2 linked regions of the Neurospora crassa OR74A genome follow. The protein of the gene in region 1 interacts with the protein of each later gene in a biochemical or structural test. Links are inferred from orthologs where the notes say so. Each region holds a gene or a part of one and is shown in the gene's direction. Other genes may lie near its edges.

Evidence for each region.
Region 2: the proteins of rpa-1 (region 1) and rpa-2 form a complex in vitro, tested with the Saccharomyces cerevisiae proteins (2 studies listed by BioGRID). The link is inferred for Neurospora crassa OR74A from reciprocal best matches to the Saccharomyces cerevisiae genes RFA1 and RFA2.

Annotation. Positions count from the first base shown.
Region 1 is NC_026505.1:1,822,065-1,826,468, forward strand, and holds rpa-1 (replication factor-A protein 1), read left to right. Parts: upstream 1-1,464; 5' UTR 1,465-1,701; coding exon 1,702-1,733; intron 1,734-1,794; coding exon 1,795-2,055; intron 2,056-2,116; coding exon 2,117-3,556; intron 3,557-3,617; coding exon 3,618-3,717; 3' UTR 3,718-4,144; downstream 4,145-4,404. Other genes in the region: NCU03605 (amidohydrolase), read right to left, coding at 1-874. UniProt on the Saccharomyces cerevisiae protein: As part of the replication protein A (RPA/RP-A), a single-stranded DNA-binding heterotrimeric complex, may play an essential role in DNA replication, recombination and repair.
Region 2 is NC_026504.1:2,100,418-2,104,209, reverse strand, and holds rpa-2 (replication protein A-2), read left to right. Parts: upstream 1-1,624; 5' UTR 1,625-1,752; coding exon 1,753-1,756; intron 1,757-1,840; coding exon 1,841-1,926; intron 1,927-2,023; coding exon 2,024-2,788; 3' UTR 2,789-3,134; downstream 3,135-3,792. Other genes in the region: NCU07715 (hypothetical protein), read left to right, coding at 1-181; NCU07716 (hypothetical protein), read right to left, coding at 430-516, 580-641, 737-916, 1,005-1,272; NCU07718 (hypothetical protein), read right to left, coding at 3,424-3,792. UniProt on the Saccharomyces cerevisiae protein: Binds to single-stranded sequences participating in DNA replication in addition to those mediating transcriptional repression (URS1) and activation (CAR1). Stimulates the activity of a cognate strand exchange protein (SEP1).

The DNA of each region.
Region 1 (4,404 bases):
CACGGTCGATCATTTCTACCGCCTCCTCCAGTTGGATTCTCCCTCTTTTGTGCTGGTCAACACCCAGGTCAAAGACGAACTTCTTTCTGCCAAGCAGCTTCAGGCCCTCGATAAAATCGTCACTTAGGGCTGTTCCGTTGGGCTTATCTTGCAGCAAGTAGCGGAAACCCTTCACCTTGGCCCATGTTTCAGGCCCGGCTTCCTTTTCCGCAGCTGCGAGATACTTTTCCAACTCGGCAGAGCCCAATACAACCGGCGCCCACGGCACAATTCCGAGACAATCACGGCCATCGTCAGCCGTGTGGCCCTCGCCAGGCTTCGGTTGGCCGGTTACGATGCGGCGAAGCCATGCGATCTCTTGTAGGGGGTAAGTCCAATCCTTAGCATTGTCGTTCTTGCGGTCGACCTCAATTGCGACGTAGCCCTGAAGATTGCCAGGCGCACCGGTGGCGGTCTGGTATTCCTGGATGGAGTGCTGCTTGGCGAGAGGATTGTCTTCAGCGTACCACTGGTGGGATTCTACCTCGGACTGGGGATAGAGGTGCACATGGGTGTCGATGATGGGAACGGAAACGGCGGGAGATGATGCCATTTTGATCAGGCCGTTATCGAGCTCGAGTTTGGTAAAGCGACGGATATGTTTGGCAAGAAAGTAAGGTATCCAGTGATAGAGAAAGAGAAGGAGACAAGCGAAGCAAGCAAAGTCAGAGATGACAGGAAGTAGGAAGGTCAGGACGTCGAAGCGGTGTACCGTCCTGCAGGCAGACCAACGCTGAACACACAAAAGTAGAGGTATGGATGGGATGTAACTGAGGCAACGGGGGAACTTCCAATCGAGCCTTCTCCTTCTTATATTTTGTATTCGTTTTAGCATAGGCAGGCACGCGCTACAGTACGAGGAGAGTACCTCGATGGTCAGGAGGGGGTGGGAGATGGGATCGACACAGACAGCCAGGAACCACGACGAGGTGGGGTACGTTCGGCATGCAAAGGGCAGGCCCAAGACGGGACAATTCACACCGAAAGATTCAAAGATAGGGTTCCTGATCAAGAATGGTTACCTCCCGTCTTCGGTTTCCATTTCCTTGAGGAACCCAAGGTCCTTTTCCCTTTCGTCTTCCTACAGCACCGGAAGAAAGATACCCTTGTTATGTACAGTCATCACATGATTGTGCGAATATATTAGCAAAAAGGGTTCTATCTGCAAGACCTGACAGAGAAATCATGACATGTTCCAAAAGCTTAAGAAGTGAACGAGGCCAAGAGGGAAGTTGAGCCCCTGGAACTTGCTGAAGTTGAGCTCTCGGGTGGGGTTTGATGTGGAGATATGGGGTTGGCGGGCAACTGCCATGCTTGTCAGAAGCGCTTGGCAGCAACACTCCCCGGCAAACGCAAACTACACGCGCTATACAAACTGGGGCCCTCCGCACGGACCGTGGATGCCTAGCAATTAAACTCTTGCCCCTCCTCGACGCGCTGCCAAACGCGTCGCTGCTGCAGTCCATTGTTTGTGTGAAATTTCCCCTCCAGACCACCATCATCATCAGTCCAACACACTCGATCCATCCGTATCTTGTCGGATCTTTCTTGACTTCTGCGCCCCAATCCTTGCATCTTCGAACACGACTCACGCATAAATCAACCTCAAAAACAACATCGAGAACGTCTCCACGGGCTTGACGCCAACACTACCCAACCAACATGGCGGGTCAAATCACACAGGGCGCTCTGGAGTAGGTTTCTTCACGTGTGCTTCCATCCAGTAGTATGACAGACTCTGACTTCTTGCTATAGCGCCATGTTCAATGATCCCGATCGCGCACAACAACAGTTCCCTGTCCCCATCCTTCAATGTCTCCAGATCAAGACCCTCGACTCCAAGAATGGGGGCGCGGGCGCCACGGAGAGGTTCCGCATTGTGCTGAGCGACCTCAAGAACTATGTCCAATGTATGATGGCCACGCAAACAAACCATCTTGTTCACGATGGCCTCCTGCAACGCGGCTGCATCGTGCGCTTGAAGCAGTATCAAGCTCAATGTCTCAAGGGCAAAAAGTACGCCTATCTACCCCTCCGCCAATTCGGGAAATCCATAACACTGACTGTTTAAATCCAGCATCTTGATTGTCCTCGATCTCGAAGTTATCCAGTCCCTTGGCTGTCCCGAAAAGATGGGCGATCCACAGCCTCTTGGCCCCCGCAGTGCAGAACCACAGCAGAACCCCAATCTCGGCAGCACCGGCTTCTATGGCGTCAAGAGCGAACCTACCCAAGACACGAAACCACAGTTTCCACGCCAGATGCCCTCGCGTAATGCCAGCGGGGGTCAGGGATCAAGCACGATATATCCTATTGAAGGTCTCTCGCCCTTCTCGCACAAATGGACCATCAAGGCCAGAGTCACCTCCAAGTCCGATATCAAGACCTGGCACAAGGCTAGCGGCGAGGGCAAGCTCTTCAGCGTCAACTTTCTTGACGAGAGTGGCGAAATTAGAGCAACAGGATTCAACGACCAAGTCGACCAGTTCTATGATTTGCTACAGGAGGGTCAGGTTTACTACATTTCTACACCTTGCAGGGTACAGCTTGCCAAGAAGCAATGGTCGAATCTCCCCAATGACTACGAGCTCACCTTTGAGCGGGATACCGTGATCGAAAAGGCCGAAGACCAGACATCTGTACCACAGGTACGCTTCAACTTTGTCAACATCCAGGAGCTTCAGGATGTTGAGAGGGATGCGACTGTCGATATTATTGGTGTCCTCAAGGAGGTCCAAGAGGTGACCCAGATTGTATCCAAGACCACACAGAAGCCGTACGACAAGCGCGAGCTGACCCTTGTTGACAACACTGGGTACTCGGTACGTTGTACCATCTGGGGTAAGACGGCCACGAACTTTGATGCTCAGCCTGAATCCATTGTGGCCTTCAAGGGCACAAAGGTCAGCGATTTCGGTGGACGCAGCTTGTCCCTGCTTTCGTCTGGCACCATGGCCATCGATCCGGATATTCCAGAGGCCCATCATCTCAAGGGCTGGTATGATAGCAGCGGCAGGAACAACACCTTCGCCACCCACAACAACATGCAGACCTTGGGTGGTGCGACCGGTCGCAAGGACGACGCCAAGACCATCTCACAAGTAAAGGAAGAGAACCTTGGCACAAACGAGGCGCCGGATTACTTCGCTCTCAAGGCAACGGTTGTATTCATCAAGCAGGATAACTTTGCCTACCCTGGGTGCCGAAGCGAAGGCTGTAACAGGAAGGTCACAGATATGGGTGATGGTACCTGGCGCTGCGAGAAGTGCCAGATCAACCACGATAGACCTCAGTACCGTTACATTATGAGCGTCAACGTCAACGACCACACAGGTCAACTTTGGCTTAGCTGCTTCGACGATACGGCGCGGGTCATCATGGGCAAGTCGGCCGATGAACTTATGGAGATTCGAGAGACCGACGAGACGCGGTTGCCCGCCGAGTTTGAGCAGGCCAACTGCCGCAAGCTGAACTTTAGGTGCAGGGCGAAGATGGACACATTTGGTGAACAGCAGAGGTACGTATCGGGGGTTATTCTCACGATTAGATGGACGTTGCTGACACATTGCTTGTTGCAGGATTCGATACCAGGTCATGAGCGTGGCGCCCCTTGACTACAAGATGGAAGGAAACAAGCTTAACGAGCTCATCAATTCTTACAACCAAATGAGCATGTAAAGGGGAGGGTGGGGTTTGTTCACTTATGCGAGGAACTAGATGATGTATATGGTTAATGAACACGTGTTTGTATTTTCGGGCATGTGGTCTCAAGGATGAACGATATGGGCATCACTGGCCTATCGACTGAAAGATGATTTGCAGTTTCATGATGGACTGGGATGGTTAAGAGCTGTGATGGGCCGAACCCTAACAGAACTTTGTTGGCGTGGCAGCAAATTTCGGCATGATTGCAGACTTGAATAGGTCTCTCAAGCGTTATCTTGGAGTTGAGACACTAGGAGACCTTCCTGTTCGAGTTATCTTCGATAACATGCCGAGGTAAGTACACACGCTTCGTTGACTAGAAGAAAGCTCCAGAGCTGGTCAAGGTCGGATCAGGGCGGTCCTTGCAATGTAATACGCACCTTTCGGGCTCAATATCCACATGGCAATCCGATCATCTCATCCGTTATCGGCCTTCTTCACCCTCTCGTATTCTCAAACTCTTCTATGCTTCAGCTTTTTCACGCAAAGAACCCGTGGCACAGCCTTTCCTGGTCATCTTTCTTCACTTTCCAACTTCCGTTATGTGAATAGGCACCCCGGCTCCGGTCTCTATGCGGACTGTTTAGCTGCTCGATACCGTATCGGCACTTATCGATTACGCAGATGGATGACAGGAACCTAAACGCCGTATCTTCCTTA
Region 2 (3,792 bases), on another chromosome or scaffold:
GGAGGTGGATAGGGGGGCAGGGGAATATGTGGATGAGTTCAGGAGAGCGGTGGGGTGTGGGAAGTTGGAGAAGGGGAAGAGTCAGTTGGGTGAGAACGGTGAGGGGGAGGAGGATGAAGAGAATATCTTGGCTAAAGGGGTTCGGAAGGGAGGGGTGGATAATTTGTTTTGCACCCGGTGACGAGGTTAGAGGGGCAATGGGGGGGGGGGGGTGGTTATGGCGATGTAAGATTATGGCGTCTATGGATATTGTGGGTTGATGCTGACATCATCTTCACTATGGCATGTCGATGGTCCCAGGCACTGACTTATTCGCTGTTCTAGTACAAGTGCGATGCATATCGTCGACAATCTTTTGCCTCTACTGACATCTAACATTTGTCGCAACATGTCGAAACCAAGTTCCGTGGATGATATCGTCCTCAGTCACTACTCATCAGCCTGCTCTCCATACTTGTTAACAACTAGAAGCGTAATACATGCCCCGAATATGGAAAGGGCAATAATCCCCATAATCTATGCATTGCATACAATTGGTTAGTCATGACAAGTGGGAAGATGAAGAGTCAGTATGCTTACAATTTGTGTTCTCCAACCTGTCTGTACAATTGCTGCCCTACGGCTATACTTGTTCACGGTTTCTGGTGCATAACAGCCCGCTCATGTCAGCGTTGGGTTTTGAGGATTCTTTAAAGCGGGTGTTGAGATAGGATACTCCAAATCAACCATGACGTACGGATATAATTGGCCACTCCTACACCAAGGCAAGAGACAGAAAGCCCCCAGAAAATGATCCCCAACGGCTTCGCCATCCGCAACTCCAAGTCGCTAGCTGCCTTGCGAAGGTGGAACGAGAGCACTATGGCGACGGAAACGATAGCCATGTAGATGGACAAGCGAAGGAACGATAGGAACGCTGTTTAGCAATAGCATCAGTCAACAAGTTTCAGTGTTCTAGGTGTCGTTCTATGTAACGGAACCAGATCCAAAAGACATGGACGTACTTCTCTCGTTCGCGCAATGATCTCTACAGTCGCTACTCTCATTTTCGAACAATATAGGACCGAAAAGCGGCCAGAGACAGAAGGTGTTTTCGTTTTCATCGAGGAGACTGGTGTCGTGCCTATCGGAAAGATCGATGGGCTCAAGCAGTGATGAAGGATTCACACAGCATGAGCATCTTGTGACCCCTCTGTCATTGGTGTAAGTCCCGTTTTCTTCCTCGTCTTCGGTGACGAGGGTGGCGCTTTGGGATGTTGCTGTTCGAGACATTGGGTTTAACCAGAAGGAAGGTTGACTATATGGTATTCATCTCACTAGAACAAGTCTCCACACCACTCAGTACTTTTCTAATGGCGTGGCAGCTTCATGTCACTGTGTATACATAGTAGTAGTCCCTAAAACCCAGCTGAACCTTAAGCAAGGGATGTTGGTTTGCAGCTGAGAGGCGGGTACTGTACTATGTATACGTCATTCACAGATGTTGAACCCTAACCCTCCTTTATTGTGCTGCCTGCTCCCGTCTCTTACGCAGAACACCTGGCAGTGGGACAGTGGGGTCCGCCTTTAGTGCTTGCTGCCTCTAGGCGCGTCTAAACGCGTCTCCCAGCATCAATCTTTCACCCCGCAATCCACCATTTGACACCAGCTCGTCCATCACACTCATTGCCTACGACTGGATCTTTTGCGAGAAGACGGAAAGTTAATCGAATCTATTCATTAGATAGCCAAGGAGACAGTAACACTAGACTCATGGGTAAGTAATTCTTTACCGAGTTCCTTAGTTCTTCTCCTAGGCTCCGCAAATGTCTAGTCAGCTAACTGTGTGTGACCTTGACAGCGGGCTACGGCGGATATGGTGGTGGCGATGGCGGTGGCTTCATGTCCGGATCCCAACAAGGTGGTAGTCAAGCCGGTGGCTCCAAGGTAAGTCCTCTGTTATCCCAGTTTACCTTTACCCCTTCCTTCCTTCGCCTCAGCACCCAAATCAGGTACTGACAACCTGTCTCTCGTCCAACAACAGTACGCCGACGAGTCCCTCCGCCCCGTAACCATAAAACAGCTTCTCGATTGGGAAGAGACCTTCCCCGGCGCCGAGCTTGCCATCGACGGCCACCCAGTAACCCAAGTGACCATTGTGGGCCAAGTGCGCTCGGTCAAGCCGCAACCGACTAACATCACGTACCGGATTGATGACGGCACGGGAGCCATCGACGTCAAGAAGTGGGTCGATTCGGAAGCGCAAGGCGGCGAGGACGGTGGCAGCGGTGCCGGCACGATCGCGCCCGACGCCTTCGTGCGCGTGTGGGGCCGTCTCAAGTCTCTCGGCGGCAAGAAACACGTAAGCGCCAACTTCATACGCCAGATTGAGGATTTCAACGAGGTCAACTACCACCTGCTTGAGGCGACGTATGTGCATCTGTTCTTTACCAAGGGAGCTCCTGGTAGTGGTGGTGGTGCCAAACAAGAAGGTGGCGGAGGGGACAACATGTTTGTGGATCAGGGATACGGAGCAGGAGGCGGCGATGTTGCTATGGGCGGCGCTGGCCCCGGTGGAGGAAACAGTGCGATGCAGGCGAGATTGGCGACGTGCTCAAGGAACGCGCAGATCATGTGCAATTTCATCAATAACTCGCCTGGCGGGACGGAGGGTGTCAATTTGCATGTGATTGCGCAGGGCACAAGAATGTCGGTTAGAGATATCACAAATGCGGCGGATGAGTTGCTGGGGCAGGGTATTATTTACACTACGCAGGATGATGAGACGTGGGCCATTCTGGATTATTAGTTCAGAGAGCTCGGCTTTAGGTGAGTTTAACGTGTGTGGTTGGGAATGGGGGAGGCAGAGCAAGCGGTACTGGCAAGCCATGCTTGAAATACCACCGGAGGAGGAAGGGATGAGAAAGGCTCAGGAAAAAGTGTTGAAGAGGATCATGTTTTTTCTTTTCTTTTTTTTCTTTTTTTCGGTCCACCTATCTGGACGAGGAAACGAACGGCGCCTCAAGGCTTAACGTTTCACAAGAATGGACCGGAATGGATGGTTTCTTTTTTTTAGTTTTCATGTTTGGTTTTGCGATTCTGCGTCTGTTAAGATGAAGAGAATATACCCGAGTCAATTTTGAGGTAGAGAAGGGCGTCTGATGACTTGTTGCATCGTAGAGCTAACATTCTAGTAGGCCGGACGGCTGAGCTATGAAACGAGTGTGTATCATGAAGGCGTGCAATTGACAGCTATTACATCTCGAGTATAAAATGAAACCGGATATCAACATATCCCACCCTTGCAACCGGTAAACACAAGTCAGAGACCCAATAGTGAGACTCATGGTCCGAGGTCAAACGTGAATAAAAACACGAGTGTCCAATCTAAGTCGTGTCTGCGTCATCCTCCATAAAAACACTACTACGTATATCACCACCAACTTACATCAACTTCTTACCGCCAACTCCAAGACCAACATGGTAATGCCCATGTGCAAGAAGGCCATGATGATGGTGGGAGCCGACAGTAGGAAACTTGGCCCTAGTAGATCCCAAAAGAGTATTGCTAGTGGTCGTCGTCGTCGTCGTCAAAGGAGCAGCAGCAGCAGCGAAGAGCGTGCCAACGTTAGAGCCTTCAGCAACAGGATCCTTGCGGGTGCTACTGGGAGTCATGCCAGAGGCATTGGGCTCGCGGACCATAATGGACAAACGGACGGGGTCCCGTCCACGCTTCAGGAAGATGTCCCTCTTGGTCTCGAAGCCGAACTTCTGGTAGTAGGAGTTGTTGGCGAGTGAGCTGGATTCGAGATA